Linked DNA regions of Pelodiscus sinensis. The protein of the gene in region 2 interacts with the protein of the main gene of each other region in a pairwise test. Links are inferred from orthologs where the notes say so. Each region holds a gene or a part of one and is shown on either strand. Other genes may lie near its edges. The genes, in order: GPS2 and RALBP1.

Region 1 (16,249 bases), on a different chromosome or scaffold from region 2:
GATAGGGAAGGGACTAGGGTGGAGGGGGTGAACACAGGGTGAACAGGGAAAAGGTGTCAGAAGGGATCACAGTCATGCTGGAAGGTATAACAAGTGGGGTTCCTCGGGGTCAGTTTTGGGTCTGGTTCTGTTCAATATCTTCATCAGTGATTTAGATGATGGCATAGAGAATACGCTTAATAAGTTTGCAGATGATACCAAGTTGGGAAGGGTTGCAAGTGCTTTGAAGGATAGGGTCAGAATTCAAAGTGATCTGGAGAAACAGGCTGAGGTAAATAAAGTTACCAGGACAAATGCAAAATACTCCACTTAGGAAGAAATAATCAGTTGCACAAATACAAAATGAGAAATGACCCTCTAGCAAGGATACTGCAGAAAGGGGTCACGGTGGACGGCAAGCTAAATATGGGTGAACTGTTGCAAAAAAAGAAACATTCTGGGATGTATTAACAGGCATGTTGTGAGCAAGACATGAGAAGTAATTCTTCTGCTCTACTCTGCACTGATTAGGCCTCAACTGGAGTAATTGTGTCCAATTCTGGGCACATTTCAAGAAAAATGTTGAGAAATGTGAGATGGTCTAGAGAAGAGGGTTAAAGATCTAGAAAACATGACCTATGAGGCAAGACTGAAATAAGTGGGCTTGTTTAGTTTGGAAAAGAGAAGACATAACAGTACTGAAAAGTGTTACAAGGACGAGGGAGAAAAGTTGTTCTCTTTGGCCTCTGAGGATACGACAAGAAGCAAAGGGCTTAAAGTGCAGCAAGGGAGGTTTAGGCTAGACATTAGGAAAAGCTTCTTGTCAGGGTGATTAAACACTGGAATAAATTGTCTAGGGAGGTTCTGGAATCTCCATCACAGGAGATATTTAAGAGCAGGTTGAACAGACATCTATCAGGGCTAATCTCGATCATGGCTACTCAATTTTGGAAGCCCAGGAGCCACAATACTCTCAGCACATGCTGAGGGTTGCAACTTAAGTGTGGTTGCATATACATGCAAATAGCTTCTTTCACATTGACGGGCATGAATACAAAGGTTAAGGCAAGACTACACAATATACCGGCCTCTTAAGTCAGTTTTGCTGATATTAATAAAATACAGTATTTACCCAATTTCCACCCATATGACAGCACTTTTAATGAGCAATGACAGTCCAGGAATTTAACTGCTAAAATACATATCAACAGAAGATATTGACTACTTTTTTTTTGGCTACCACCCATGGGCTGTGTGTTGAGCCCCGCGTAAATCCAAACCGTACCACAGGCTGTGGGCCGCATGTTGAGTAACCCTGATCTAGATGGTGCTTGGTTCTGCCATGAGGGCAGGGGACTGGACTTGAACTGTTGAGGTCCCTTCCAGTTCTAATGTTCTATGAGGGTTTGCCCAGCTGGGATGGGAGAAGGCATCAGGGGGTCTGTCCTAGGTAATCAGGTAGGGCATAAGAGGGTCTCATCTAGCCAGGTGGGGTGGGGGGGAGAGTCAGACAGGGAGGAGTTATGAGGGGGTCTCACCTGGCTGAGCAGGAGGGAAGTGCCCATGCAGTGCGTAGCCTGGCGGCTGCTGTGACAGGTACTGCATGGCAGGGAAGGCTGAGGGGCCTGTGGGGCAGAAAGTGAGGGTTAGAGCTCTGTCCCAACCCAGTGCCACCACCTCCCTTCGTCCCCCCAGCTCCCTGTGCCCTGGAACCACTCCAATTAAGCTGGTCCCCACTCCAGGCTTTGACTCACCACGGATGGGCTGGCTGCTGGCATAGCTGACAGGCACGGCTTGGCCTGGGGCAAAGTGCTGGCCCTGCCCCACAGCATAGGGGCTGTGCCCAGCCTGCCCGCTCTGGTACTGCCCATGCTCCGGGGTGCCGGGTGCGAAGGCCGGCTGGGTGGTGAAGTGCCGCGTCTGCTGGACACAAGGGGGAGAGGTCAGCAGCTCTGCAGTGACCCCAGAGGGGATGTGACCCACCCACCTTAACACTCACTGTGATCACAGGGGGTGCAAAGATCTGCTTTGTCCTGTCGGCTGAGATCAGCGTTCCAGCCCGGCTGTGCCCTCCGGGGCTTCCTGAAGAGAGACTGGGGTGAATGGTGGGGTGTTCCTGGGCATGGTCCCCCTCTCCAGGCGCTGCTGCCAGCCTTTGCCTACCCCAGGTAACCCCACCTGCAATGGTCCTCCCCCAGACTTCCCCATCCTTCCCCACCCCTCCCAACTGCCTTTTACCCCCATACTCTCCGCATCCTTCCCCATGCCCTCCCTATTGTCCCCCAGGCCCGTACCCTGCATGTTGAGGATGTGGGCCCCGGCGTGCACGGCCATGCCCTGCTGGTAGGCTGCAGCTGTCAGAGTCGTCAAATCGCTACAGGGCAAGAGAGAAGAGAGGCTGGCATGGCTCCCCTGCCTTTTCCACTGTTCCCCAGTCAGTCCCATCAAATCTAGCAGCAACGCAACACTGCATTCTGCAGCTCACAAAGTCACTTCATCAGGGAGTTCCCCATCTTAAGAGAATTGTAGCTTTCCACCCTCCCACCAAGTCATCTCTGATGCCTCCCTATAGCAAGACAGAAACCCTCTACGCCTTCCGCCAGAACAATACCCTCTCCCACACACCTGAACCAGGACAGGACCCTGCCCCACACATCCTCCCCCCTCACCTCTGCTCCTTGCGCCGGCGCTTCTCCTCTTCATGCAGCACCTTCTTCAGCTGTAGGAAAAGCTGATGCTTCTCCTCCTGTAGGGCCTGCAGCCTTTCCCCCAGCTTACTGATCTGTGGGGGGGCGAGGGAGGGGAGGAGAAGAGGGTCAGTGTGAGATGAGGGGACAGGGCCCAGACACCCAGCACTGGGATTCTGGGAGGAGGCAGCCTCTCCCTGAGAACAGGGCCCAGAGACCAGGCACTGGAGGAAGTGGGCTGTGATCTAGGGGGAGCCCCAGACCCCTCAATCCCTAGCCTGGCTCATAACCCCCCACCCCATGGAGCTGGAGGATAGGAGACCCACGCCACCACACTCACTTGTTCTTTGGTCTCCTCTAGAGACATGCGCTCCTCCATCTCCTTCTTGCGGCGCCGTTCCTGCTCTTCCCTCATCTTCTGTTCCATCATCTTATCCACTTCCTCCTCCTCTGCAGATACACAGCTAGGGTCAGGACAACCTCCCCCCCCAAAAAAATAGGCTAGAAATATGGAAATAGTGCAAGCTGAGGACAGCCCATCTGTCCCCTAGAAAAGAGATCCAGGGACTGGAACCTCAGCATCAGTGAGGGACTGTGAAACTGAGGGCTGGCCTTCATCTCAGCCACAAGAACAAACCAGGTGTTTGTGGGGAAGACCTGGCTGTGAACATATTGGGGCCAATGTTGCGGGTGGGAAGGAACCCTGCAGCACTGACTCTGTAGGAGTTGGAGGGCATGAGGAGGAATGTAATTAGTTTTGAGAGCCAGTTGGAGAAACTAACTACCAGTGGGGCTGCTGGGCGGACAACATGTTAAGGACAGCTTTGCTTTCTTGCCTTAAATCCTCACCAGGTTTTAAAGAACCCTGAGTTAAAAGACAAGCCTCAGCTTCTCCTAATCCCTTCAAACAGTGGGTTTGCCACACTTTTCCATTGGTGGACCCCTCAAAAATTTCTAATGCCAGCATGGAACCCTTTGGAAATTACAGACCTGGGCTGTGCCCGCCCCCCAAAGGGGTTGATGGACTATAGACTGCAAACTTCTGCCTCAGTTACATTAAAAAGTAAATATGGTGAACCCCCAAAACTCTAGTAAAACTTTGCATCAAAGGCCCCATCTGAAGAGCAAGCTGGGGGGAGGGGGAACACCTAACTTTGGAGGTTCAGGCTTATAAACACAGCCCTTGGGCACCTATTCTGTATTAAGTGCTCGTGTTTCACAAAAATCACACACGACAAGTAATGTTTCCATTAATCTTTTCCATCCATGCATGGACTTCTGCACATGAATGAAAGAATACATTTTGCTATGTGCACCAAACCATGTACCAATGGGTACCACTCGTGGAAACATAAACCTAGCTATGAGCAGGGCCAACTTTAGGAAGTGCGGGGCCCCCCAGGATTTTTTTGTTGAGCAAAAAAACCCAAAACACAAAAAAAGACGACTTAGGTAAGCAATTGCTGTGGAGCCTAAGCAATTAATCAAAACCTATCCCCCAACAGAAGCCAAATTCAACCTGGTGTTACCCATCTATCACAGCTGGTCTGAGAATCACAAATCAGGCCAGAGAAGGTTTAGGGCCAAACCATGTATTTGAAAGTTTAAGTTACACGACAACAAGCAACTGCAACGAACCCACCTATCTATCTCAGAAAAAAGATAGAAAGGTCCCATACACAAAAGGGGTATACTTTACAGAATAGGAGACAGCAGTGGATGCCTGCAACCTACAATCCCTTGGATAACTGAAAGCCTTAGGATAAGATCAGCAGGAATCCTCTTCCCTCACTGCCCCTGCCCCCTTTTTTCCTGATGCCCGCCCCCTCACCACTCTCTGCCCCATTCCCCTCATGCCCCTGTGCCCTCACACATGGCTTGCTCCATCCCCACCTTTCTCATGGCCACCCCTCCTTTCAAGCCTTCTCCCAGCACCTCCCCCTCCCCCCCTCCAGACCCTAATGCCCTTCCCCTCCCCTCTCCTCTCCTCTCCCAGCATCACCCTGTCCCTCCTCACACTGACACCTCCCCTCCTGCCCTTTTCCTCATTGTCTGCACTTGGCCCCCTGGAATTTGTATCTTCCCTCTCCCCTCCACCTCCGCACAAGACGTCTTCCTCTCCCCCTGCCCTGCCGTACCTTCTGCCTTCCACTTGGGGGCCGGAGTCTGTGCTCAGACCCCAAAAGTCCCCGGACTCCGAACTGGAAGGTAGGCCAGCACCACGCAGCACCAAACACTTTTAAAGTCCTGGGCCATGACGTGACATCACGTCACGCCCAGGCGTCTCCCCGGTCACCTGGAAATGCTGCATAGTGTGCGCAGGCAAGGCGAAGCCGACTGAATGCTGCGCACAGCAGGGATGGCTCGGGGCTGGGGGGACGGCCATATAACTTGCCGCCCATGGCAGGTGAGCCTGCACAGCGTGCGCTTGCTCTCACCCCAGCCCGGCGCCCCCCTAGCGTGGCGCCCTGGGGCAACTGCCCCTCCCTGCACCCCCTTCGCTATGCCTCTGCCCCCCCCATCACATCCGTCAGGCTGGGAACCAAGGCTCCCCACCGCCAGTGTCCCCCACCCCTCAGCGCTCCCGTTTTTGCACAATCCACCTCCCCACCCAACCAAGCTAGGGCTGGCCCCGCGGCTGCCAGCGGAAGAGATGGGCTGCGCCGGATCGGGCAGCACGCGCGAAGGAGGCGCAGCTGGCGCTGGCCTGGCCAACCGGACGCTGGAGCATGCTGCCACTGCTCAAGCTGCCACAGGTGGTGGCCGTGCTAGCGGCCGGTTCCGCACGTGGCCTCAGCCTGCAGAGCCTGGTGCTGGAGCCCCTCAGGTAAGAGACGGCAGCCAGGGGCCGGGCTGGGCCAGGCCTGCCTCTGCAAGCTGCTTGGGGCCCCGTGGGGGAAGCGCGACCCCACCTGCTTTGACTGCGCCCCACAACGCTGCTTTGCACCCCGGCTCCATGTGCTCAGGGTGAGTCACCGCTCCCCGGGCTGCAGGTGGCTGAGAGCTGACTGCGCCTCTCCCCCCTCCCCCACCTTACCTTCTGCCTTCTACAATGCGGGGCCAGACTCCGAGTCCGAGCCACCTGCACTTTTCAGTTTTAAAAATCCCGGGCCGTGACGACGTCACATCACGCCCGGGTGTCACTCCGTCCACGTGCAAACACACGCGCATGGCAGCAGCAGCTGGCAGCGTGCGCAGGCAAGGGGGAGCAGCCGACTTCCGGGTGTAGAGCCCTCTCGGGTGCAGGGCCCGATTCAGCAGAATCAGCTTAAGGCTATGAGCACTCTTCTAAAACTGGGTGGCATTCAAATCTTTCCTGAGTGGCTGCCCAAGCACCCAGCTTACAGGGAACACTAATGACAAGCTCATCCACACCTTTAACAATGTACAGTAAAACTCCAATTGTCCGGCATCCAGTGGTCCGGCACTCCTGATAGTCTGGCACCAACCGGAACCTGGAAGTGCTCTGGCCAGCCGGACAATTGGAGCTGCTCTGCCCGTGGCCTCCCCAAGTCAGCCGCTGGTCAGTTTCAGCAGCGGCTGACTTGGGGAAGCCGGGGGCAGAGCAGCTGGGGTGCTGCTGGGTTGGTCCCGCAGTGCCACCCTCTCCCACGCTCTCATCCTTAGTCCCCCCTTTCCTCTGCCAAGGGCTGCAGTGTGGAGGTGTCACCCTAGCTGTTGGGGAGACTGGGGCCCAGCTATAGGGGAGGCTAGAGCAGAGCAGCAGGAAGTGGCTGGTGACCCTGACCTCTAGGGCTCTGATCTGTGAGGTGCCCCTGATGTGAGGACGGAGGGAGAAAGGAAGAGCAGGGGAGAGGGGGCTCAGGCCTGTTTTTCAGGGGATGTCTAAGAAACAGGGAACAAAAGGAGGGGGTGTCTGAGGGTCACCCTCCACCCCTGGTATTGGGCCCCTTGAAATCCGCCTCCGGAGAGATGGGGCTAGCACTGGGGACTCAGGAAGCCAGGAGAGGTTCTTGGCCACACCCTATAAGGCACTGTGCCCTCCTCCAGCACAGGAGAGTGCGAGGGGGTGTCCTTGAGGAGCAGTAGGACAGAGGCTTGGGGAGGTTCCCAAGAGGCAGTGTGATGGAAGGAGCAGTGCGGGCAGGGGGACCAAGGGACAGTGCAGTGGAGGGAGGGGAATATGGGGGAGCCAGGGAGTGTGTGTGTGATGGGGTGGAGGGAGGGGGATATGGAGGGACCCAGGGGGTGCAGTGGGGGAGGAGAATATGGGGAGGCCTGGGGTCGGTGGGGGAACCCCAGGGTGGTGTGGTGGAGGGATGCGGCGGGAGGGGGGACGTGGAGTGTTCCAGGGGGTGGGGGGTTTCCAGGGGGAAGGGCCACGGTGAGGTGGGGACAACAGGTGGAGGCGGGGCTAGAGCCGCTGAGGGGTGTGGCCAGACGGAGAGGGGTCATTGGACAGGTGACGTGAGACACGAGGAGGGCAGGGGCGCGTGACGCGGAGCACGCGAACGAGGCTCACCCTGCCGCTTGCGCTCGCGCTCCACCATGACGTGGCGGTGGAGGGCGCGCGCCATGGCCGAGGAAAGCTTAGGCCGCTCCAGCAGCGCCGGCATCTTCGCTCCGCGCTCGGGCACCGGCCCCAGCCGTACACTTCCGCTTCCGGGGCGCGCGCCTGCGGCGACCCGGCCGCTCCTCTCGTGTCAGCTTATCCCGCCCTCTGTGCGCGCGTGAGAACGGGATCCGGCCTCGCCCTTGCCCTTACGTCAGATGGCCCCGCCCTCTCTCATTTCCCAGCGAGACCAGGCTCTGCCGCTTGGCCGTGCATCAGAATGAGGCTGGCCCCGCCCGCTGGTGGCAGGAGTGGGATTTCGGCCGAGCCCAGGGCATGCGCCTGTGTGGGCAGAGGCAGCATAGCTGGCCCCCGCCCGGGAGGAGAAAGGGACAGCGGGGGGCCTCCCACTCCAACTGGGTGCTGGGGGTGTGTGCTCGGGTGACCAGCACCCTGCTGTTTTGTTATTGATCTAGAACAGTGGTCTCCAACCTTTTTAAGCAGATCACTTTTTGAATTTGTCAGTCTAGGATCTGCCTCTAACACAAATACCCCCAGCCCGCCCCTTTGATGAGGCCCCACCCTCCTCTGTGAAGTTGGGATACAAGGGAAGGGGACAGAGCAACATCAGCACCTCCCTGCTTCTTGTCTTCCCCACCCCACACTACATGCAGAAGGCTCCCAGGGGACAGCTCTGAGGCTTTAGGCAGGAGCAGTGGGGGAAGGGCAACTGACATGCAGGCACTTGAGAACCTTCCAGCCAAACCAGTCAGGATCACCTGTCAGAGGCTCCAAGATCTTCTGATAGATCCTGATTGACTGGTTGGTGACCCCTAGTCTAGAAACTGAGTCTTGTGCCTATGGGGCTCTGCTTGGAGGAGCAGCCTGCAGCCCCTAGGCACCCGATATCTACACCTTTGCTCTGCCACAGCCCATGGAAACTGTGGGGATGGGGTCTGCAGGCAGAGAGCCAGAGCAACCTGCTGGCCACTTCCTGGAAGTGGCTTCACCCCCAACTCCTATCTGGTCCATCAAGGTCAGGGGGCTCTGTTTGTGCCTGCAAGCCCTTTCCCTGCAGCTCCCATTGGCAGTGTGCCTAGCGTACGGGAACTGCTGAGTTCACCAGTGTGGCTGGTGCAGCATTGGGAGACAGCACCTGCCCCCCACTCTGACCATAGGATTCAGAGATCACCCAGCAGGGCTGGTGAGAGGACAGGATGGGAGTGTCCAGGTGGTGTGATGATGGGGGGGGGAGGGGAGAACGCAGTACAGGACAGTGTGGTGGCAGGACTATGGGGAAAGGCATCAGGTAGCGAGGAGAACCTGTACTGGGAAATCAGAGAGTGAGGTAAGTCCTGGGTGGGGTGCTGGGCAGCTGTGGTGGGGCTGTAGGAAAGAGTGCTGGAATTATAGCCCTTTACATTTGTGTTAGCAAAGTTGTTGGGGAGGTTAGGGGTATACCTGGCACAGTGAGCTGTGTGGCACAGCACAGGCCCCATACACCGGCCACTGATCTGCTCCCTTCCAAATCATGAGCAATCTAGGGGGAAGTTGTAGGAGGGAGCAGTACTCATCCCATGGTTATTAGAGAATGTGACTCTTCCTCGAACATGTGGGCTATGTCTAGACTGGAATGATTTTCCGCAAATGCTTTTAACGGAAAAGTTTTCCGTTAGAAGCATTTGCGGAAAAGAGCATCTAGATTGGCACAGATGCTTTTCTGCAAAAGCACTTTTTGCAGAAAAGCGTCCGTGCCAATCTAGGCGCACTTTTGTGCAAAAAAGCCCCGATCGCCATTTTCACAATCGGGGCTTTTTTGTGCAAAACAAATCTGTATAGTCACTTAACCCTGGTCTGCACCAGAAAAAGGCAATTTTAAGTCATGGTACCAGATATGTGTAACCAGCCTAGTTTAACAGTCTCCCCCCTTTCTGGTGACACAAACACAGACACAGCTGAGGTGGCTGAATGGTGGTTTATCAATTAGGGGGCTCTAAGAACCCTCCATTCCACCCCATAATGCAACTTCACCTCCCCCCAACCTTACAATGGAAAAGCAGCTTAAATAAAACTTTTAAAAAAGTAACAGGTGGGGAAGGAGTGCTAAACCTGCCCCCCCAAGGTTCCCCCACGAGGAAATTCACATTTCAACAACACCAATAGGTAATAAATAAGGAGGGATGGTTGGGTGAGGGGACAGTAGGGCTGATTTTGGGGGCTACTGGCACCACAGGAGCAGTGCTTACTGCACAGGAAAGGGGTGTAGGACAGTGGTTGCAGAAGGTGGGAGGGGGATGGAGGCAAGGTAACCTGGCCAACCTTTCCCCTCCACTATGGTGTGGAAAAAACAGGGAGTCCCCTGCCTCCCTCCCCCAAGCCAGAGAGGGGGCAGGCTAGAACCACCACTAAGTGCTACAATTCAACATCCCTCCTCCTCAAAGCAGGGGGCTTGCCAAACGGGGGAACAAAGAGGGAGTTAAAAGAACAAATTCCCCCAACTCCCCCCGGCTACTCCAACTCTCCCACACCCCAATAACTGAATCTAGCACTTCCTTGAAATATTCATTGGGAAACTTTCCCTCCGAATGAGAGTCCCCCCCTTGGGAGGCAAGATCAGGGCCCCCCAGCCATGGAAGGTGACTCCCCATCATAGCAATCTGTGCCAGGGGTACTTACTCTCCCTAAGCTATTTAAGTGTGGAAGGGTAGAGATCTCCCCCACAGAGGTAGGTCCTCCCTAAGAAATTAAGTCTTTTGTGGTGCAATATATTCCCCCCCCCAAAATCTCCCACCATGCTGTAAGTCCCCCCCAAGTCTGCCCCCTCTTAGCTTTTTCTATGTGCAAAATACAGCTCTGGGCACCAGAGGGAGCTGTGTGTATGGGGGGAGGGGCTTCCCCCCAGATTTAAAACAGTGTCAGACTCTGTATCTTGTCCAAATTCTCCCCCCTTAGGCTAGGCCATAGGGGGGGTGGAAGAGTGCAGACGTGTGTGTGGGGGTGATACACACTGAAGATAACCCCCCCTACCCAAGAAAGGCAAGTTCCTCTGGTGATTATCCCCAGCTGAGCACAGGGAGAGCATGCTGCAGAGAGACAACCCCCCAAAAAACCAATCTTCCTTCTGGAATCGGGATGGAGGGGGTCATACTGCTGAAAGCCCCTCCCAGCATCCAGTGCCCCCTGCTGGTCCAGGGTGGGAGAAAGATGTGCGCTGCAGATCTGCTGCTCCCCATGCCTCCAGCCACTGGGGGGGGTTACGGTCCATTGGAGGGTGGTGGTAGATTTCCCCCTGGCTGGCTGTGGGGAGGGTCACTCCACACGCACAAGCAGGCCATAGAGCACGGTGGCGCCTTTCTCCTTGGTGACCCACTCTATCTCAGCCATGCTGAAACGAGGGTCCGGGGGCTCAGGGGCACCAGCTGATGGGGGGCCTGGCTTGTAGGAGCCAGGGCGCACACACACTTGGAAGGCCACCTGTGCCCCATGTTGCCGCTGTGACTTGGGGTCCCGGAATCTGCAGGGAGAAGAGGAGACACAGTGGGTCAAAGATTCACAGACTATTTCTAGTCCCACTATCCCCCGCCAGTGGCAACTGGGACTCTCTGCTCCTCCCTTACACCCACTGGCCTCTAGAGGTGGGACTCTGATCTCCCTCCCTCACCCCTGCTAGCTTCCCTTAACCGGGGCCAAGACTCACTGCTCTCAAGTGTCTTGCTCCCTCCTGCAGCAACTGAGACTCACTGCTCCACCCGAGGCCCACTGCTCCCCAGTGGCAGGCAGGACTCACTGTCCCCCTTAGCCCCACTAGTCCTGAGTGGCAGATGAGACTCATTGCTTTCCTCTCCCCTAGCCCAAATGCTCCCCAGTGGCTGGCAAGACTCACTGTCATTCCCCCCCCACCCCTGCCAACCCCACTAGAGTGGCAGGCTGGACTCACTGCTTTCCTCCTCCCTAGCCCCGCTGCTCCCTGATGGCTGGTGGCACTCACTGCACTTTGGTGGCGAAGGCCTCCAGGCCAGCGTAGCGCAGGGTGGGCGAAAGCAGGATGCACTGGGGCTCAGCCCCATGGCCTGGGGAACTGTTCTCTGCCTCATGGTATCCTCCACCCTGGGGGTCCACCTTGGCAGGCCGGCAGCTCAGGATGGACGCACTGCCTGGGACAGGGGACAGCCGTGAGCCAGGCCCCATCCCTAAGCGCAGGCCCCATCTTTAAGCACTGCTCCCTCCCCAGTAGGAGTTTGGGTCCTGGAACCCCATAATGGGACTGGTCATGCTTCATGCATGTGACCCTCTGGAAGAGGAGTAGGGTGCAGCTGGGAACCAGGACTCTTGGGTTCTCTCCCCTGCTCTGGGAAGGGAGTGGTAGTTGGTGGGTCAGAGTGGGCGGGAGGTGGGGGGGGGCATGGGCTGGGAGCTAGGATGCATAAGTTCCATCCCCTGGTCTGGGCAGGGCATAATGTGCTCTGTGCTGGGTCCCTCCTACCTGCCCCCAGTTCCCCTTGGTCCAGCATCCTCCGGACAGCACCGACACTTGTGCCGTGATAAGCCATGTGCCACTTCTTACAGGTGCTGGCGACCTCCAGCTGGGGGTTTACCCTGCCGAGGTGGGAGGGTGTCAGAGCCAGTGTCCCCCCCTCCCCATTCCAGTCCAATCCCAGCAAGAGCCCCTCTTCCCAGCCTCCCCCTCCCAACAATAGTGAACCAGATCCCCCTCTCTCCAGGCTGATACCTGAGGTTGAAGCGACACCAACCAAAAGGCAGGGCATAGTCCCGGGGGGGCTCCCCCCGTTTATAATAGGCCTCATCGCCCCGCAGCTTGTGGCACGACTCACAGTAGCAGAGGCTGAATTTGGGATCTTCTGCGAAGTAGTCATCTGGGAAAGAAGGGGATGGGAGTCAGGCATGGGGGGAGGAATTTAACTGAGGCAGCAATGCTGCATGAGTCTAAAGAAAGCCTGAGGCATCGAGTGTTAATGCTGAATGAACCCTACTGATGGCAACAGTCCATTTCAGTCACCAATGTGGTTCACTCTGAAGCAGATTTAGAAGGCCCCTGGGGCCAAGGGAGAGGGTCCCAACTTACCTGGAAGCAGCAGGAGATCCTTGAAGCGGGCACAAAGCGCGTGGTACTCACAGGTCTTCATAGTGTTCATGTCCACGGGTGGAGTCCAACACACACTTTCCTTAATGCCTGCAACAGAAAGGGAGGGGTAGCCAACCAGCCAGTCCCTTCCCACATGTACTAGAACAGTAGTACCCTTGGTAGTCCGCGATGGCACTGCAGGGGGTCTGTGGAAAGTTTAAAAATAAGGCTTGGACCCACCATAGGGGGCCTGATCCTTATTTTGCTTTTTCTCCTCCCTCAGAGAGGGGGGCCTGTGAAATGTTAATAGATTAGAAAGGAGTCTGTATGTTCAAAACGGTTGGGAAGCACTGTCCTAGAGACAGAGGCTACGTCTAGACTGCAAGCTTCTTTCAGAAGCTTTTCTGGAAGACATCTTCCAAAAAAACTTCTTCTGAAAGACAGCGTCCACATTGCTTTTTCGATGCGCTTTGGCAATCTGCTTTTTTGACCGATAGTGTCCACACTGAATGGACACTATTTTGCATGTAAGCTGAGATTGCTATGGACGAATGGCCATCAGGGCACTGGTGCTTTTCCTCTTTTCTCTTCTCTTGAAAGAATGCCCTCTTCCCCATCTACACACGCCTTTTTCCCGAAAGAGCTCTTGCAGAAAAAGGCTTCTTTCTTGTAGAAAGAGGTTTACCAATGTCGGAAAAACCCCCTCTCCTTTTGATATTTTTTTCCAAAGGATGCGATTGCAGTGTGGATGTAAATGAAGGTTTTTTTTTTTTTTTTTTTAAACAGCTGTTTTTCTGGAAAAACTCTGTAATGTAGACAGCCCAAGTAGGGAGGGCCTAGCCCCGGATCCCACCCATCCACCCGGGCAGATCCCCCTCTAACCCATCAAAGAGCGGAGCAGTTCCATCACTTACCATCCACCATGTCGGCTTTCTCCATGTCCCCCTGGCTATGCAGATCTGTGCTCTCCCCTCCCAGAGCTGGAGTATCATTTGTTACTATGGTAACCTGGGGGCCACAAATGCATTGGTTGGGGGGAGCTGGGAGCCAGCACACCTGGTTCAATCCAGGCTCAGGAAAGAGAGTGCCAAGCGAGAGCTGGTGGATTACCACACGGGGCTGGGAGCCAAGATGCCTGGGTTCTCTCCCCAACTCTGGGAGGGGAGTGGGAGCTAGTGGTTAGAGCGGGAGGGGGGCACGCTCTGGGTTCCGCCCTGCTGGGAGTGGGGCTCACCTGCTCGCACTGCCCATAGAGGTCGACAAGCATGTAGCAGGGTGTGGGGATGTCCTGGGCAGCCACCCCCTGGTCCATCCCGTTGACATAGAGGTGCAAGCAGCTGCTCAAGTCCAGCAGGAGCCCCAGCACTGTCCCCTCAGGGCACGTGTCCAAGTTGGGCCCATAGTTTTCACAGATCTGGGGGTGATGGGCACAGGGTCCATGGTGAGCTCCAGAAATCCCCCCCCCCCCCACTGTAGAAGTCCAACAGCGCCCCTTCCCCATCTCCCAGACCAGCCAGTCCCTGCCCGGTGGGAGCCAGGGCCCCCTAGAGGGGATAAGCCCCCTACCCTGTTCCCATCCTCCTGAGTCAGCCAGTCCCCACTCTGAAGCCGGATGGGAGCTGGCACCCCTTAGAGGACACAAGTTCTAGGAACTGCCCCACCTTGAGTGAGTTATGGAAGACAGAGTCACGCTGCAGTAGCCAGGCAGAGCGCTTGAGGGAGCAGGCTGTGGCAGGGAAATTGAGGCGCTCAGGTGAGGTGCCGATGACGCCCAGGGACAGAGACGATGTCCACTGGGGGTTCAGGAAGTTGATCTGAACCTGGGAAGGAAGACAAGTGGGAAAGCTTGGAAATAATGTCTGACACCACTAACACCCACCTCCCACAGGGCAGTGACTGATACCAACCCTGACAACAGTTACAAGGGTTAGACATTTATACTGCTATGACATCTATCCCTAGCCTGACAGCAGCGGCGCCTACCACAACAGCAGAAGAGTCCTCTGCCCTCCCCCAAATTAGATCATATCCTTCCCTGACAAGAAGCAGCAGGCCCTTTTGCCCACCACCCTGATTTGTGGGGATGTGATGTTATGAGGAAGGGGGGGCCACTGTGCTTCCTGCCAGCTCACAACATCACATCTTCCCAAAACATGAGGTAGGAGACACTATGCCTTTCCACCACACAATATCACATACTCCCCCAAGAGGAAGGAGCCTACCTGGAAGAGCTGGCCTGGGGGCAAGGGCTGAGCGATGACCACGATGCCCTGGTTGTAACTGGCCACACGGGTGGCCGTCAGGTTGCTATTGGATAGAAGGATGTTCTTGCCGTGGTTCTCCAGGAACTCCATGGCAGCCAGCGGCACGGGGGCCTCATGCTCACACTGTAGCAGAGGGAAGAGGAGTCATTCTCCAACACCCCCACCCCTAGAGGAGACAGTCCATGTACCTCATTCTCTTCCCTGCCGCTCCAGGCAGCCCCCACACTGGGGCCAGATGGGAGCTGACACCCACCAAAGGAAAACATTTCCCATCCTCCAGCACTCACAGGTGCGGGCTCTTCCTCCTCTTCTTCCTCACTGCATGTCTCGGAGGTGACTGAGGGTGGCTTGGTGCCATCTGACTCCTCCAGCACCGTGGAGCTGACAATGGAGACGGCAGTGACGCGGCCATACAAATCCAGCACCACGTAGACGTTCTGAGGACATAGAACGGGACGGAGGGTGGGGGCGCCTGGTGGGTCAGAGTGGGAAGGAGGGCTGGGACCCAGCACTCCTGGGTTTTCTCCCTAGCTCTGGGGGGGAACAGGTGGCTGGGTTCCAACCTTCTCTCTGATTAGTAGGGCCTCACTTGCAACCTCCCTCAAGTTTCTCTCTGTTCAGTTTTGGGTTGGATTCCCCCCCGCCCCACTTGAACAGCTTGACCCCCGCCCCAGTATTTGTGGGGAGCAACCCCTTCCCCTCTTGGCCAACCCAGCCCATCTTCATCACTGCCAGCCCTTCTCTGCACTCGGGCTAGGAGAAATCCCTCATTTTGATCACGGCGCTAGTTCTGGTCCCCCAATAGGTTTCTCAGATGTCCTGTCCCAGTGAAGCCATGGGAAATGCCCCTGGAGCTGTCTCCTATGGCACAGTGGCTTCCTGTGACATCACAGCATGCGTCCCTCAGACAGGAAGAGGCAGGCCCTATCCTCCCATGACACCACATCACAACCTCTCTGAGACAGGAAGAAGCTGCCCTGCACCCATGACGTCACAAACACCCTCCCACGGAGCTACCTTTGAGGCTCAGGAAGGGGCAAGGCTCTGCCTATATCCTTGTCTCATGTGGGCTCTGCCCCCCCAACGCAGCTGCAGGGATGAGGCCCAAGCAAGGGGCTGTGGGCATTACCTTGGCCACGCCGGTAGCAGCAGGCCCCATGTCCTCGCCATCAACCAGGATGTGCATGGTGTCGTCCACACAGTGCTTCACCCCGACACGGTTTCCCACCTACCATTAGGAGTGCCTGGGTTAGTGACAGGTCCACCCATGGGCCTCCAGCCCCACATCCTTTGTCCATCCAACTCCCCCTGCCCACTCCGCCAGGCCTCTGGCATGACTCACCCCAAGCCTCTCCAGAGAGCAGCCGTAGTTCTGCTTTTGCAGGAGGCCATTGCGCCGCACCTCAGAGCCAGTCACCACCCATGTGGCCTTAGACTGCAGCTCCAGCAGGGAGGCCGGCAGCCCCGTGGCCGCATAGGGCACCTCAGAGGGCAACAGCGTGGTCAGCCCCAAGCAGAAGGAGCCTGACCACTTCTCATCCAGCTCCTCGATTTTCACCTATGTGGGGGGGAGGGGGCATAAGCATGGGTCAGAGGTCACCAAGTAATGGGAGAGGGTGAACATGAGTGCCACCCCTGCACCAGATTAAGGCTGGACTACAGAGCGCCCCCTACTGTCCCCAGGGGGAAGGTACCGGGTGTACCAGCCACTTCGGCCTGGTGG
Region 2 (16,262 bases):
TATACCGAATTTGATGGCATGAGCTCTTACCATTTAGGAGGAGATTTGAACAAACAGACAAACACAAATGGACAAATGAACACATTCTCAAATAGATTAATAAAACCACTTTCATTGCCTGAATGAAGACTGCTTTAAAAACTGAAGTTATTTGTTAAAACATACTATATTCAAATATACATTAGGGATATAACAACTAGTCGCTCCCCATCCCCTTGCTGCTTCTATCAGAAAAGCCAGTTCCGTCCAGCGTCATCTCCACAGAGGGCAGGTGAGGCATAGACGTAGTGGGGGACTGGACACAAGCCAGGAATCAGCTGATTCCTGGCTTGCACTCAGTCCCAGACACTGCGCCTCTGCTTTTTTAAAATGTATTAAGAGCTCATATCTGGTCCTCCCTGCTGCTCTTAGCCAGCTGGCTCTTAATACATTTAAAAGGCAGAGCAGCAGGAAGGACCAGATATGAGCTCTTAATACATTTTAAAAAAGCAGAGGCGCAGTGTCTGGGACTGAGTGCAAGGAAGGAGCTAACCCCACTGTGGCTCTGCAATTTCCCCTGATTATCGACTAAACACAATTTAACATCCCTAATACATATGTCTTGTTATCAGGTGATTGTATCTGGAATGAAGGTGAAGTGACATTATTATGTCATTCCAGTAGGTGTATTCATTTAATACCAGTGAAGACAAAGGGGACTGGAAACTCTCTCAGGGACACTTTATATCTTCAAAATCCCATGTATATATTGACTCCTCACAACACCCTTGTGAATTAGGTAACTGTCTCCATTTTACAGGGGGTGTGGAATGAACCAAGCCCCCCCCCCCCTCCCACACACACATATCCCAAACCCTTCAGATACTGAAGTTACATGACTTGCCCACAGCCCTACTCAGAATCAGTGTCTGAGCCAGTGCTGGACTCGTGCGTTTCTGATTCCCAGTCCCATGCCTCAACCACTCTCTTTTATTTGTGCAATTCTGGTGATTACCAAACTGAAACACAGTCCCACAATACTGTATGACTAGATCACAGATTAAGTGGAAAACTACAGTCTGAGAAACTATAGAGTTCATGCATGAAGTGGTAGTTTCATCATATAAAGAATGGAACTGAATTAAGAGTGTGAAATCAGTTCTTACAAACAATTGTATTAGCCAAAACATGTACAGTGATTCCTCATTTAACACTGTAGATACGTTTCAGAAAATGTTCGTGTTAAGTGAAAATGTGTTATGTGGGGTAAATTTTCCCATTGAAAATAATGGAAAAAGTGGGGGTTGCGTTTCAAGCGGTAGTGTCTGTTGGGACTGGGACATGAGGTTGGGGGAGAAAGGGGACTGGGTTACAGCAGGGAGGGGAAGTGTTTGGCTCTGGGGAAGGAAAGGGGAGGACAGGGAAGGGGGCTTGCAGCTAGTGGCTGGGTTTCCCCAGCTGGCCAGTCGCCGGCAGCTGCGCGGGGCTTCCCCTGCCTCCTTGCAAAGCAGCAGAAGTTTGCAGCTGGCCACGCTGTTCCCAGGCGACCCCTCCTCGCTGGACACAGGGAGGCAGGGAAAGCCTTGTGTTGTTCGAAAAATGTTCCCTAAAAAAAAAAAAAAAAAAAAAAAAAAAACCGTGCTATTGCAAAAACGTGTTAAGTGAGGAATTACTGAATAGTAAAACTCCAATAGTCCGGCATCCACGGTACGGTACTCCCGACAGTCCAGCATCAAAATGACAAGAGGCAAAAAACGAATCACAAGGCAGCAGCGGCAGCAGCTGAACCGAGCGAAACCAGATGGAACCGAGTCAGTCTGCCACTGGCATTGTGTGACTATGGACAGTGTTTGTGCTACAATAAAAAGGGTTAAAAACACTTTATATATGTATATCACCAATTTATAGTATCTCCTGATAGTCTGGCATATCCGATAACCCGGCACCACCTAGATCCCAAAGGTTCTGGATTATCGGAAGTCTACTGTAAATTGTTTTACAGCTGTAACGACAAATCTGACAGAATAAGATGTGCTGTGCAACTAAAATAAGAAAGTGCTAATACTGAACAAATAAAGTATCATATAATCTAAGATGCAGAACTATTAACTGTATTCTTGTTAATCTTACTATGGTAAACTACTAGTAACAAAACTGTTGCAATTTCTGTTTTTGTACATGTAGTGTTGTTGTCTGCATGTACAGAATCTGTAAGAAAATAAGATGTATGTTCTGCTGATGCTTGTGAGAAATGCACCATCTGCCACTTACTGTTCTGGTCATGTTGGTACAGACATCTCTGTTTTGCAAATTTATGGAACTACATAAGAGAAAGTAGGAAAGTGTTGTGCTAATACAGTTGAATTTTTGGACTTTCCCTCTGCCGTAAACAAGCAGGCTATAAAACAGTTTCTATAATAATTCTTTGACAAGCTGCTGCAGGATTATTTCCCAGAGATTGGTAATGTATAGTCTCTATATTGTGCTGATTTATCTTTGATTATTAAACTGATTGAACCTGGGTTATGGGCTATTTTATAAGTGAAAGAATATAGCTTATTAGTATCAACAGCACTGGTCTTGTCCACACCCAAAAGCTGTACCACTGTAACTATACCAGTATAGCGAAAGCAGATGGCACGATCTCTCAGCATGAACAGTTGTATTGGTATAAAGATGCTTAAATTAGTATAGTTTATTCCCATATGGAAAAGGAGAAAAATCTATCTTGGTAAAATGCACATTTATACTGGCCTAATTATTAATTAAAAACAAAAAACAAAAAAACAAAAAAACCCACAAAAAACAAAAAACACAGAATTACACCACTAGCAGTTATGATACAAAAATGTATGTCATATGTTTAACTATACTGTAGATGCGTCTGAAGTCTGAACTGAAATCATTTTTAACATTAATCTTTTACTTTAAAGAACACTAAAAATTTAAAAAGCACTAGTTAAAATCAGAGCACAGGATGGGTATAACAATGTACCTCATTTGTGACCTGCAAATGGCCCTGCTATTCCATTTCTAGGTTACTTTATGAACAGACCACAAATGTTACCACATTCCTAGCAACTATGGTGAGTCATCAAATTCGTTCTTCTATATGACCAACTAGGATTTGAATTCAAGATTCAGTTCAAGAGTTACATTAACCATCGAGGCTCGCAGTTAAGTCCACCCAGCTGTCCATTCCTAACTTTCATCCCTCAAATCGTATTTCATTTCCTCAACAACTTTGTAAAGCCATCTCAAGAATGTTCTGAAAATAAGCCATATAAACCCTACGACCAATAAGTCTTTGAGTTGCTACGTGAATTGAGAGCATTAAACTGCCAGATTTCAGAATTAATCATTTTAAGAACCGAGCCACTTGCTTCTTGTGAAAGAATTCTCAGTTGATATTACTTTGAAGGAGACTAGCAACAATATGAAGCACACTGTATAGAATTTATAAAAGAATTTATAAAAGTTAACACACCTAATGAACAAGAAAAGCAAAAGTCATTAGATTCAAGTAATCCACTGGATTTCTAAAATATTCTCTCTCACTTTACCATTTTTTAAATGGACCATTTCTTCTCCCACTGCATATATTTTAACCCTATCAATAAAACCTAATCAATTAAACACACTCCACAACTTCCTCAGACTAACTTTTGAACAAAATATGAAGTAGGGATGTTAGATATTGTTTATTTTAGTAATTGTGTAGCTGCAACAATTTTTAGCATTTACACAGTTACTAAAATGCTCTCCCTGGAGGCATCACTCCTGGGGAGCTCCCTGCCACACTACTTTGCTGCTTCTATATCAGATGCAACAGCACAGGATGGCAGGAGGAACCAGTCTGCGAGGGGAGCCAGTTTAAAAATTGGCTCCCCGAGCAGACCGGCTCCCACCTGCTGCCCTGGGCTACTGCTTCTGATACAGAGGCAGCAGCAGGGGGACCTGAACTCCCCGTGGACAGAGGCTGCCCAGCATCCCACTTGCCTCCCTACCCCCATGCTATTGCTTCTGATAGAGAGCTAGCACACTGGGAGAGTGGGAAAAAGGTCAGGCAGCTCCACAGAAAGCCAGCTTCCCGCATGTGCCAGCTCCCACAAACCACCTTTATATTACATGCTGCTGCCTCTTTATTAGAGGCAGCAGCAGAGGGATTGGGGAATTTGGTGGCTCCATGGAACACCAGCACCAGGGGCAGGCAGCTCTGCAGGAATTGGCACACGCAGGGAGCCCAGTTCAGACCTGGCTCGCACTGGGTGTGGGACCAAACCCCGCTGCGGTTCTGCAATATAAAACACAGTAGGAGCCAGGGACAGACTGCCCAGCTCCTACTGCCTTTTAAATTGAAGAGCTGCAGCAGGGTTTGGTCTTGCACCCAGCATGAGCTGGGCTGCCTGCTAAAACTCTTGATGCAAAGCAGGAAGTGATCATTGTGCAATAACCTAAACAAGTCCAAATACACATGAGAATATTCAGTGTAGTGTACCTACAATACCAAAATATTACTTTGATTTCTAGGGGATGACCCAGATAAAAACAAATAAAGGTAACCGCAAAAATGCGTAGTGACATTTCCTCTTTACACAAAAAGAGTACAAAAATACAACTCTAATTTTTACAAGTTCCTGCTTTGCATAAAGAGTGTTAGCAGGTGTCCAGCCTGCTTACATAAGAGTGGATAAACTTTAAAAAACAACAAACTTGTAAAAATTAGAGTTGTATTAGATTAGTGTCTATAAGCTCCAACTAATATCAGAATCACAATGTGCTAGATGCAGCATAAACATACTCTGCATATAAAAGTTGAGGAGCTTTAACTATGTTGGTATAGTTAGAGCAGTCTAACCCATCTAGCGTAGACCCAATTAATTCAATATAAAAAGTATTTTACACAAGTTTAGCTATTTTTATACATGAAAGGGAATAAATTATAATGCTAAAAGGCCTCTTTATACTATGAAAAGTGGGGACATAATTTAAGCATTTGTATAAAAAAATTATATATCCCTAACTGAAAGTTTTACAAATACAAAAATTGCATGTAGAGCAAGCCAAACTCAATAATCTTACAATCTAAACAGACAAGTAAAATGGTAGGAGAAAGGAGGTTTTATTATTCCCATTTTACAGATGGGGAACTGTGGCAGAAAAAGATTAAGTTACTTGCTCATGCAACACAGGAAGCCTGTTGCAGAACTGGAACCTGAACCCATATCCACACTATATTGTCATACTTTTGGACCCAAATATCTGAAGTACGTGTTTTTTCCAGAATACTATTTCTCTCATGCTGCCCCAAACACTGGGAAGCCAATCTCTAAACATCTGCAAAATATCCACCTTCAAATCCCTTCTCAAAACTCTGCTTTTGCTGTGATGCCTAGAGAAAACATGATAATGCTCAGTAGTGCACACACTACTGCCAAACATGCTGACCAATGCTGTCTCATTATTTACTTGTCCCCCTTCTGTCTATATCCATCTGTTGTCTCAATCTCTAAGACTCCTAAAGCAAAAACTCTGAGGCTGATTAGTACAGAAGGCAGTGTTCTTTTTGTTGTGATTGTACAGTACCTAGCACAATGAAGGGCTGATTTATAACTCTGGCTCCTAAGCACTACAAATACATCTTATTACTATACCAGAAGTCAAACATTACAAAAGTTTACAATAAAGGCTACATCCACATCTATATGATTATTAAGAACCCATAAAATTTTGGGAGAGTAGAGATTGACCTCCATTGCCCTAATAATTTCCCCTCCCGTTATTCTGAACCATACTACATGCCACCTGACTGCCATCTTCAAGCTTCTTGGCATATGCATTTTAGTGATGCTGTATGTATGTGTATATTGTCTGAAGTGGATCAAGAGCATTTAAGTGCTACATATGATTGTTTATCACTTTCTCTGTGAACAAGACCACTCTGCTCTATTACAGCAATGGAATTTGACAACCCCTCTCCCTCCTAAAAAAGAGGAAGATTAGTACAGAAGGCAGTGTTCTTTATGTTACCCATGACTTGTAAAAACGCCTCAGAATAACCACAAATCTCAGTACTTCCAGAATAAGATGTTCTTTGGCCTAATGTACTTTCCTGCTGTGTTCTGTTGCCCCTTTCATTGTATTTGCCTTTAACAGAAAACAAACACTTAGGAACAGGGACTACCATACAGAAACCATGCACAGCTGTAACAACAAATTACTGTCAACGTCTGATATTGTGTGCACGGCCTGTTAGGTACTTTCCAAGCACACCATGTACAACGTAAAGAGGTTGATCGCAGCTTTGTCTCAATTATGAGAGAATTCCAACTTCAAGGAAATAAAGGGTAAGTGGATGGGGGAAAAAAAAAAACCAACCAGCAGGCCAGTAGCACTTAAAAACCAGGACAGTCCTCCCCCTTTGGTGCCCTATGAGCAGCACAGACTCTCATGCGTGTTTCACAGCACACACCCATGTGGGTGTAGGAGGGGTGCAGGGAGTTGGCACCCGCCACTGGGAAGTACGATACTCACCCCTGGGAGAGAGTAGCAGGTGCAAAGCTAGGCGCGCTCCCCCCCCCCCCACCCCCGAGGGCACCGGGCTGGGGCGATGAGAGAGGCTGTAACACACGGCCCATGTCACTGCCCGGCTGCGCCGGGACACGGGGCTCCGCCACAGCCCCCGGGGCGGCAGCAGCCTGGAGGAGGTGGCGATGGCCCCTGGTGCAAACGCCTCTCCTGGGAGGGCGAGGAGGAGGTCCCCGAAGCGGGGGGGAGGGGTCCCTGGCGGTGCCCCCCACCCCCGAGGGCCGCACTCTAACCCCCCCAGGCCGGAAGTCACTCCTGGGAAATGGGGGCGATGACCCCGCCCAGCCGACGCGACCCCAGCACTGACCCTGGATTTCCACTTGCCTGCAGGGCGGCTCGGCTCCGCCTCGGCCTCACGCGCGCCCCGCCTCGCGCCCCATTCCGCCTCCGCCGCCCGTTTACAAGGACGGGTACGGATTCGTGAATGCCGCGAGCCTGTCAATGCGCATGCGCCTCCCCCAGCTTCCCTCTGCCCCAGGGGAGGGCAAAGAGCGGACTGCGCAGACGCGGAGCAACGGCCGCGGCAAGCAGCGGGATGGAAACGCGCATGCCTCTCGCAAGCGTGGCGAGGAGAGGGCTTTGCGCAGGCGCGTGGTCGGTGAGTACGCGTGCGCACGGCTGGAGGCAGTTATGTCTCCTCCCAGTCGGTGGGAGAAGCCCGCGCGGGGCATGCTGGGAATAGTAGTTCCAGCCCTTGAAGCAGAGTCAGGTGTGTAACATCTAGCGGCGCCCTGTAGGAATGTGCTACTTAGGCTGCACTGAGCATGCTCGGTAACGCTGCTGAAGCCACTGCCCTTCGCCATGTCCTCACTTTCTGCTGACTACTTTTTAGCGGGGGTTAGAAAGTCACAAAAAGGGGTAAGCGGAGGGGAGGTGAAGCCCCTGGAGACAGGGCTAGGATGGGGCTGGAGGCCGGTGGGGGGAGGAGCGGCTCCTCTGGGGAACAGTTATAAACCTCACACCCCTACAGGAGGAGGTTGGGTGACCTGCCTGGGTGCTCTCAGCTCAGGTCCTGCCCACAGGCTCCACCTGCCCTTCGCTCTGTTACCCCCCGGCCATCCCACCAGGCCTTCCTCTGGGCACAGTGCTCAGGCAGAGCTGGTGCCAGCTGCATCCAGAGGTGTATGGTGTAAGGGGACTGGGCGGGACCGGCTGGAATGATTTAGTTGGGATTGATTCTGCTTTGGGCAGGGGGGAGGGACTCCAAGACCTCCCAAGGGCTCTTCCTACCCTATGATTCTGTGAGTCTATGCTGGCTTCTTTTCAAAACTCAGTGAGGGTTTTGGTTGGCTAGTTTCCAGTATCAAAAGGAAGGGGATGGCTCTATGAGAAATCAGGATCCTAAGACTGACATCCCCCAGGAACAATGGGAAGAGGCCAGCACTCCAGATCAGCTTGAGAGGGGCTGAGCTAAAGAGTGCAGGGCCCAGAGCTGAAATGGGAGGAAGACTTGGAAGTGAATAACAGAAGCACAGAGGGCAGGCATGAGAAATAAGAGTACCTGTCATCCATCCTTGCATTCCCCTCCCATCTACATAGGTATAATCCCCTCTTCTCTGCCCCCATCATGTGATCCTTGTTCTAGATAAGGTTTGTCTTTCTGGATGCATCTAAGCCCCTCTCCCTACCTGCCCCCCCCCCCCATATAAACTGTGATCAGAATCCATATGAAAGATTGTGGGTGGTCGGCTAGAAGGATCAGGTTGAGAGTAGGTCCTTTTTTTCTAAGGAATGAGGAAATATCATTGGGTGGGTAATCTGGGAACATAGGAGAGTCTCCACAAAGTGATATTGTCATAGACCTTTCTCTCCTAGAGGGCCCTATCTTGCTTGCATTTAAGTGCATAGCCCCGGTGGGCCAGTCTCTATTCCTCCTTGGTTCCATGGCCCGCCGGGGACATCAGTTGGAGAATCTTCCATGGCACTGTGAGCATGGGGGTGTACTTGGCACGGTTCACCCGTTCCTGACATTTGCCCCTTCTGCGGTGATAGGGAGGCCCTGGTGAACATTTAGCTTGAGTGCGCTAGGTTACAGCCCCTCTTTTGGCTCCTCCAGAACCTCTTTTTGAGGTTTTGGCTGCACTTCCCCTCATACCTATTAATTTACACACACCCCATCCATGGCCCCATAAAGTCATGGGACCTCCTCATCAACCTCCTCCTGGCTATCACCAAGATGGCAATTTATAAAACCAGGGAGCAGAGGCTGATTGAGGGAGGGGCCTGTTACTGGGGCCTATTTCCACTCCTGCATCTGTTCACACATCTGGGCAGAAATCCACTGGGCAGCGTCTGCTGGCTCTTTCGAGACCTTCGAGGGGCAGTGGGCGCTGTCCGAGGTTCTCTGCTCGGTGTTCCTATTCAGTTCCCTTGTTTTAGCCCTTTGACTCTCACACCCATCCCTGTTTTCTTTTTCTTTGTCTCCTGGAATCACTTGATGTCCAGGGCTCTTTGGATCCTCCCAGTAGTCTGGGGGAGGGTCGGACCCCAATAGGATCTGAGTGCAGGGTGGAATGAATTGGCCCAGTAATAATTGAAATCTTGCTGTAAGTAGTTCATATGTTCTGTTGTTGTAATTTAATTATAAGTGAAAAGAGACCCACAACAGGTCTTACCAGTGGAGTTTTTAGCCTTCGTGAAGGTGAATGAGTTTGCTAGCAAAACTTGCAGCCTCCTGTACAACCAGGCATCTTGCAGTCTTTGCAGACCAATGGCAAATTTCACAAGTTTTCAAGACACAGTGTTCAAAGGCCCTTAGTGAAAAAAATCTTTAAAGCAAGCCCCAGACTGTAGCAGATATAATCCTATGAGCCAGATGTAATTAAGCCCTTTTAAGGTTAAAAGAAGAATCATTTTGGATTATTTTGAGTTTGGGATTTAGAAAATTAAAATTAGCAGACTGTTCAGAAAGTGAAATTCCTCATTTTTTTTTTAGCATTTCATGTCACAAAAACTTCTTGTCCAATTCTTCAGCTTTGCCAAAAATTCCCCTTTGACTAGAAACCAGGCCTTTAAAATTATTTCTGCATGCATACATGTCTCAAAGGCAGGAAGGTCTGAAGTTAAGATTACACTGGAAAGTTAATTAATCTTAACAGTAGAATTGATACCCCACTTCTATGTAGTACAATACATATGAAATGTTAACATACTGCAGAGCCTTAGCTAACCAAGGTTCTGTTCAAAACATTAGTAATTCCATATTCCAGTGAGTTGTACATCCTTTCTAATGTAATAGGTAGACCTTACTTGTGAGTTAGTAGAATCTGTGTTTTTGATTGATTGAACAGAGCCAGATGGTTCTTCCATTACTGGACAGGCACTTTGGAAATATCCAAAACAGTACTATGTTCTCCTCCCCCCCCCCCCCCCCCACACACACACATACCTTTGTTGGATACTATTTTTCCCTTGCAAATGGCATTATTTAGTGCAGTAATTAATTGTACAGTAAGAAATAATTACTTAATGAGACAATATTGCAGGTCTTAAAAAAGCTTATAATAAATGTTTGTGATCTGTAAATAAATGGAAATGTGATGTTTTGTTCTGTTTTCATATAGCAGAAGTAAATGTGGGTATTATGGCTGATACCCAAGAGAAAAAATCTTAGGCTTTTCAGTTTCCAGTGATAGGCATTTCATATACACAGTGCCAAGTCCCTCTTTGGTTCACTGCACATATAGATTCCTTCTGATACAAGTGCCAAAACCTCTTCTTTCTGCTGACAAGGAGAGGCGTTTGAGAGCAGCAACTGGTATCTTTTGCCTGCCCCTCTTCTGAAGTATAAAAACTTTCCTCATGCTGGGGCAAGGTAACACAGTTCTTTCTCCCTGCCTGATCTTACTTGGAGAGGAAAGTCCACCACATTCTCCGCATCTTCCTCATAGTTTAGAGAATCAATGGGTGGGGAGGTCACTGTACTTTTAATTCGCTAAAGTTCTCAGTGTTCCTCGAAAAGCAGATGGGATCTTTCAACACTATCAGCCACAACAACCATCACATTGTTAGTCTGTGCATCAACCATTTCGATAGCTCTGCAATAATTGCCATCCTAGGACTCATGCAAGTGTGTTCATCTTTGTGCAGTGGACCTCTTCCATTCTCTTAACAACATTATACAGTGCAATTCGAGGAGCTTATCTGCTAGAAAATTGCACTTTGAAATAATGTGTTGTCCGTGTTGCCCACAGAAAGAGAAATACTGTGGGTCTCACTTCCTCCTCCTGCTAGCACAGTAGTGGGCACGATGAGAACCTCTTGCAGCTGGGTGGTTCTCTGTTAAGGATGACATTGCAGAGAATTTTCACCTTTATTACGTACGGAAGCAAAATCCCAGTTAATCAGTTAATTGGTTAAACGTTAGGTCAACTTAACATTTACTCAGTTAACCAACAAAGCAGGATCTGGGTCGGGACCGCTCCAGCCTAGCTGCAGCAGCCCTCAGCCCCACGCTCACAGCCCCATGCTGGGAATAGCCACTGGTTCCAATCCCCTGCCAGAACAGCCCCTGTCCACAGTTGCCTGGGCTCGCTGTGGACAGAGGCTGTTCCAGACACTAGTGCAGCCCCTGTCTGCAGGGCACCTGGACCCGACCCAGACAGGGGCTGATCCAGATGAGACCATCCCCTGTCCGCAGCATGCCCATGTGGGACTGGAGCAGCCCCTTGCCTGCAAGAGGTGGGAAGCTGCTCCAGTCCCACCAGTTACCAGTTAGCCACAACTCATTAAGGGTGATGCTTACTGGTTAACCAGTTAAACATTCACATCCCTATTAATAACTCTGCCCAGCCAAGTGCCTATCCATGAGTCAATTCCTAACAAAGCAAAGCTGGAGAAAACAACAGTTCTTAGGCAGAAAGAGAAATTGTAATGTGACACAAACTAAACAGGCCTGCACCTAGCCACTCAGCAGCACATCTGCTCTTCTGAACAGATTTATTTTTAAATTAAAAAAAACAACCCTAGCATTTGCCATAATTCAATTAGACTAAGTCATGTTATATATGCCTAAAAAATGTTGGTAGCATGGAAAATGCAACAAATATATTTTGACTTTTGCTTTTGCCAAGGAACCCTTTTTTTGTTTGTTTGTTTTTTTTTTTGTTTGGTTTGTCTTTGTCCTTGTTAGAAGAATAGAGAAATAATTTGTCTGCTGGTTGAGTACGTGATTGGTGCCAGGAAATGCATCTTCCATCTCAATGGCTACTTTGTTTGTGTGTCCCCTAAATACATTTTGTACTCTTCCTCTTTTTAAATGAGAGTTTCTGGGTATGTTAAATACCTGCATATCTGGAATCTCTCTTCAGGATTCTAATCAACAAGGGAATTTATTTCAGTAAGTAGCACTCTTGACTCATTTTCACAGCCTTCAAGCATGATCGTAGAGCTATTGGACACATTAATACTGTGGCAGTTTGCCACCTGCTTCATTTATTCACTTGAGATTCAGTATTCCTTGATCTTTACATAATGGATTCTTTGTGCAACTTTCTGTGGTAATGTAAGGGTCCCCCCACAGGAATTTGTGTTTCTCTATTCAGTGGAAAATACAAAAGGGAGTGTTGTAAACACTCTAATTAGTGTTCATGAGCATAGAGGTATTGTCCTACAATGTATTTCCTAACCAATCAATTCCCACACATTCCTTTAGAAGAAAATCCTAATGTGAAAGACAGACTGTTGGTTTAATATTACAAGCAATTTTTTTTGTCAAACAAGGCTACAATACAGGTGGCAACAGGAGAAAACTAAGGCTTCTTCACTAGCCTTTGGAGTTGTTTTAGATGATTGCTTATATTGATCCCTATTCTTAGATGATGTTCCCCAGAACACACAACTCCCAAGAATGACAAGGGCCTGCATGAATCCCCAATGAAAGCCCATAGTCATGCCATTGGCTAACTAATGCAGAATGAATTTTTCCCCATTTCTAAGGAGATGGGGTGAAAACATATTACACTGCACTAGATTCCAGTTCACCTTTATGTGAAATTCACTATATCAATTTCTACCTGTGGCTCCCAGTTATCTCAGAAATAAACTCACACCCTACACCTCATTACATTTACTGTTGGCTGTCTCCAAGAGAGAACTCTTAAGATCTGGGGTAGGGTATCTAAAATGGCAAGTCTTCACTCTGGAATTCAATCTTGCTGCTACTGCTGAGCCTCAGAAGTACAACTGCAGGTTGGAGTCTTGGAAATGGTGTGTTTAGAGACTAAGAAAAGCACAGCTGTATAAAGTAAGAATGCTGTGTTCATTCCCTTTACTGCCAGCTTTAACACTATTTCAGGAAAGGCAGTTGTTTAGGAATCATGAAAACCCTTTAATGGAAGATTTTATATACATGCTGAACTGACAGGCTAGACCAGTTCCAGAGAAGCCAGTCCAGTCTCCAAGGAAGCAGGTTTTTTGAAAGAGTTACAGAAAATCTAGTCCCATGAAGAGTTATCGTGGTAAATTTGAAGACTGTATTCTAGCATTAAAGTATAAATCATAGATTGTAGTCCTCTTTGAACCGGAAAGCTCAATGCACCATCCAGCTACGGAGTTGTTACCAACACCACAGTAATAAAAGAGAAAGAGGCTGACAGAGGAGAAAAATGTAGTATATCTTTGCAGCATGCATCTCAATATTGCAGGGGGAATCCAAGGAGACAACCACTGGTAAACTTGAACACTAAAATTAAGAGGTAACGCAGGCTGTCTCTATACTACCGCACTTACAGTGGCAGCTGCTTTAGCGCTGTTGAAGAAGGGGCTCTAAGTTAAAAGAAGAGAACTCTTCCATCAGTTTCCTAACTCCTGCCTCTGAGAGAGGCAGTAACAACACCAATGGGACAAGCTCTGCTGCTGACATAGCGCTATCTATAGTGACACTTTGATCAGCATAAACTTAGGTTGCTCAGAGGTGTGGATTATTCACACCTGTGCATGACAAGTTAGACTGATGTAACCTGTAGTGTAGACAAGGTTTCTGTATGCAAAGCCAAATTATTTACCTTTCACACTTTAGGGAGGCTCTTCAGCAAAGTAAGGTGTCGAGGTATAAAAGGGAAAGTCCCCTTGTGGATCAGTAACTAGTTAAAAGATAGGAAACCTAGGGCAGAAATATACAGTTTTTAGAATGGTGTGAGCTAAATAGGACCAGTTCTGTTCAACGTACTCATAAATGATCTGAAAAAGGGGTAAATAGTGAGGTAGCAAAGTTTACAGGTGACAAAAAATTACTCAGGATAGTTAACGCTGAAGCAAACTGCATAGTGTTACAAGGGGATCTTCCCAGAGTTGGGTAACGGGGAGACAAAATGACAAATTAAATACAATGTTGATAAATACAAAGTAATTTCGCATTGGAAAACTATGTGTACAAAATGGTAGGATCTAAATTAACTGTTACCATACAAGGAAGAGACGGTGGAGCCACTGTGAATAGTTCTCTGAAAACATCTGCTCAATGTGCAGGAGCAGGCAAAAAAGCAAACAATGTTAGGAAGTGGATAGATAATATAACAGAAAATAGCAGAATACCAATATATAAATCTATGGTATGCAAACACCTTGAATACTTTCTGCAGTTCTCAACACCCCACTTCAAAAAAGATATACTGGAACTGGAAAAAGTACAGAAAAGGGAAATGAAAATGATTAGGGGTATGGGATAGTTTCTGTATGAAGACAGATTAAAAATAATGGGACTATTTAGCTAGGAAAATAAATGACCGAGGGGGATGCTACAGAGATCTATAAAATCATGAATGATATCAAGAAACTGAACAAGAAAGTATTATTTACTTCTTCACATAACACATAAGCCAAGGGTCATTCATGAAATTAATAGACGGGAGGTTTAAAATTAACATAAGGAAATAATTCTCCAGACAAGACAGCCACCCTTGTGGAACTTGTTGCCAGGAGATGCTGTGAAGGCCAACAGAACAACCGAGTTAAAAAAAATGAGATCTAAATTCAGGGAGTATAGATCCATCAATGGCAATTAGCCAAGATGGTCAGGGATGCAACCCAATGTTTTAGGTGTTGTCCTTAAATTGCTGACTAGATGCTGAGACTTGGTGATGGGATGGTTCACTCGATAAATTGCTCTGGTCCATTTACACTCTCTGAAGCATTTGGCACTGGCCACTGCTGGAAGATAGGATACTGGGCTAGATGGCCAGTCTTATGTTCTGTGCACCAAAAAAGATCAAAACTGCTGATCAGATGTGGTCACATTCATCTTTCAGCTTGTGGAGAAAGGGGGAAGGGAGATAAAGAAAGGAAACTGCCCTAAGAGGTTAACAGAATCAATTTATCAGTTCACATTTGGATACTAAATGGCAATTGCCTTAAAAAACAACATCCACCCACCACACAGAACAGCGATTTAACCTCCCTCCCCCAGGATTCAAGAGAACATGTCAGGGTCTGGCCCTCAGTTTTGTTAAGCTCAGTTATCAGAAGTTAAAGATCAATTTTATTATTTCCTATTAAGAATTTTATCCAAGGGATGCTGGCAGCTGGGAAGACCAGAGGGATAGATTTGCTGCATGAAATTTTGTTAAAAAAAAACCCTTATCAGACATTTTTTAAAGCAATAGAAAGCTTCTACTGTCTTCAGAAAGTCAGCAAATCTAGTTGTAAGAGCAGAGGACTGGCAAGTAGGAGAGCTAGGTTCAGTTCTTGACTGGTAATCACTCTGTGGCTATGTCTAGACTGCAAGCTTCTTTCGGAAGAAGCTTTTCCGGAAGAGATCTTCTGGAAAAGATCTTCTGGAAAAGCTTATTTCAAAAGAGAATGTCTACATAGCAAAAGTGCAAGGAAAAAGTGATCTGCTTTTTCGAAAGATAGCGTCCACATTCATTGGGTGCTATCTCGCCTTTAAATTGTGATTAGTGTAGACGGAATGGCCACCAGAGCACCTGTGTTATTTCCTGGAGGCCTCTTCTTTCGAAAGAACTCCCTCTTCTGCATCCACACATGCCTTTTTCCGCATAGAAAGAGGTTTACCGCTGTCGTAGAACCCCCCTGCGTTCTTTCAACTTTCTGTCAAAAAACCGCAATAGCAGTGTGGACATAAGTATAGTTTTTCCAGAAAAATGCTGCAGTGTAGACATACCCTGTATGACCAGTCCTGCCTGTGCCACAGGTCCACCTTGCTCTACCATTTGTAATGTGAGCATCAAACCTTTTGTAAAGAACTTTGAGCTCTTCCAATCAAAGCAGTTATCAAAGCCTTCGGCTGTGTCTAGACTGGCTAGTTTTTTCCAGAAAATCAGCCGCTTTTCCAGAAAAACTTGCCAGCTGTCTACACTGGCCGCTTGAATTTCCGCAAAAGCACTGACTTCCTACTGTAAGAAATCAGTGCTTCTTGCGGAAATACTATTCTGCTCCCATTCAGGCAAAAGTCCCTTTTGCGCAAAGCTTTTGCGCAAAAGGTCCAGTGTAGACAGCTCAGATTTGTTTGCGAAAATGGTGATCAGGGCTTTTTTGTGGAAAAGCGCGTCTAGATTGGCACGGACGCTTTTCCGCAAATAGTGCTTTTGCGGAAAAGCGTCCGTGCCAATCTAGACGCTCTGTTCCAAAATGTTTTTAGCGGAAAACTTTTCTGTTAAAAGCATTTCTGGAAAATCATGCCAGTCTAGACGCAGCCGAAGTGAAAAGTACTAGACAACTGATGGAAATCAATTCAATCT

The links.
Region 1: the proteins of RALBP1 (region 2) and GPS2 interact in binary tests that used the Homo sapiens proteins (3 or more experiments, as listed by UniProt). The two-hybrid records come from large-scale screens. The link is inferred for Pelodiscus sinensis from reciprocal best matches to the Homo sapiens genes RALBP1 and GPS2.

What each region holds. Positions count from the first base shown.
Region 1 is NC_134734.1:9,783,533-9,799,781, forward strand, and holds the start of GPS2 (G protein pathway suppressor 2), read right to left. Parts: upstream 7,387-16,249; 5' UTR 7,244-7,386; coding exon 7,150-7,243; intron 3,147-7,149; coding exon 3,007-3,146; intron 2,762-3,006; coding exon 2,649-2,761; intron 2,354-2,648; coding exon 2,274-2,353; intron 2,062-2,273; coding exon 1,979-2,061; intron 1,903-1,978; coding exon 1,734-1,902; intron 1,605-1,733; coding exon 1,518-1,604; intron 1-1,517. Other genes in the region: NEURL4 (neuralized-like protein 4), read right to left, coding at 10,489-10,693, 11,168-11,333, 11,663-11,775, 11,909-12,053, 12,263-12,370, 13,177-13,270, 13,497-13,676, 13,924-14,082 and 4 more. UniProt on the Homo sapiens protein: Key regulator of inflammation, lipid metabolism and mitochondrion homeostasis that acts by inhibiting the activity of the ubiquitin-conjugating enzyme UBE2N/Ubc13, thereby inhibiting 'Lys-63'-linked ubiquitination.
Region 2 is NC_134712.1:85,224,245-85,240,506, reverse strand, and holds the start of RALBP1 (ralA-binding protein 1), read right to left. Parts: upstream 7,049-16,262; 5' UTR 6,892-7,048; exon of another isoform or gene 6,875-6,891; intron 1-6,874. UniProt on the Homo sapiens protein: Multifunctional protein that functions as a downstream effector of RALA and RALB. As a GTPase-activating protein/GAP can inactivate CDC42 and RAC1 by stimulating their GTPase activity.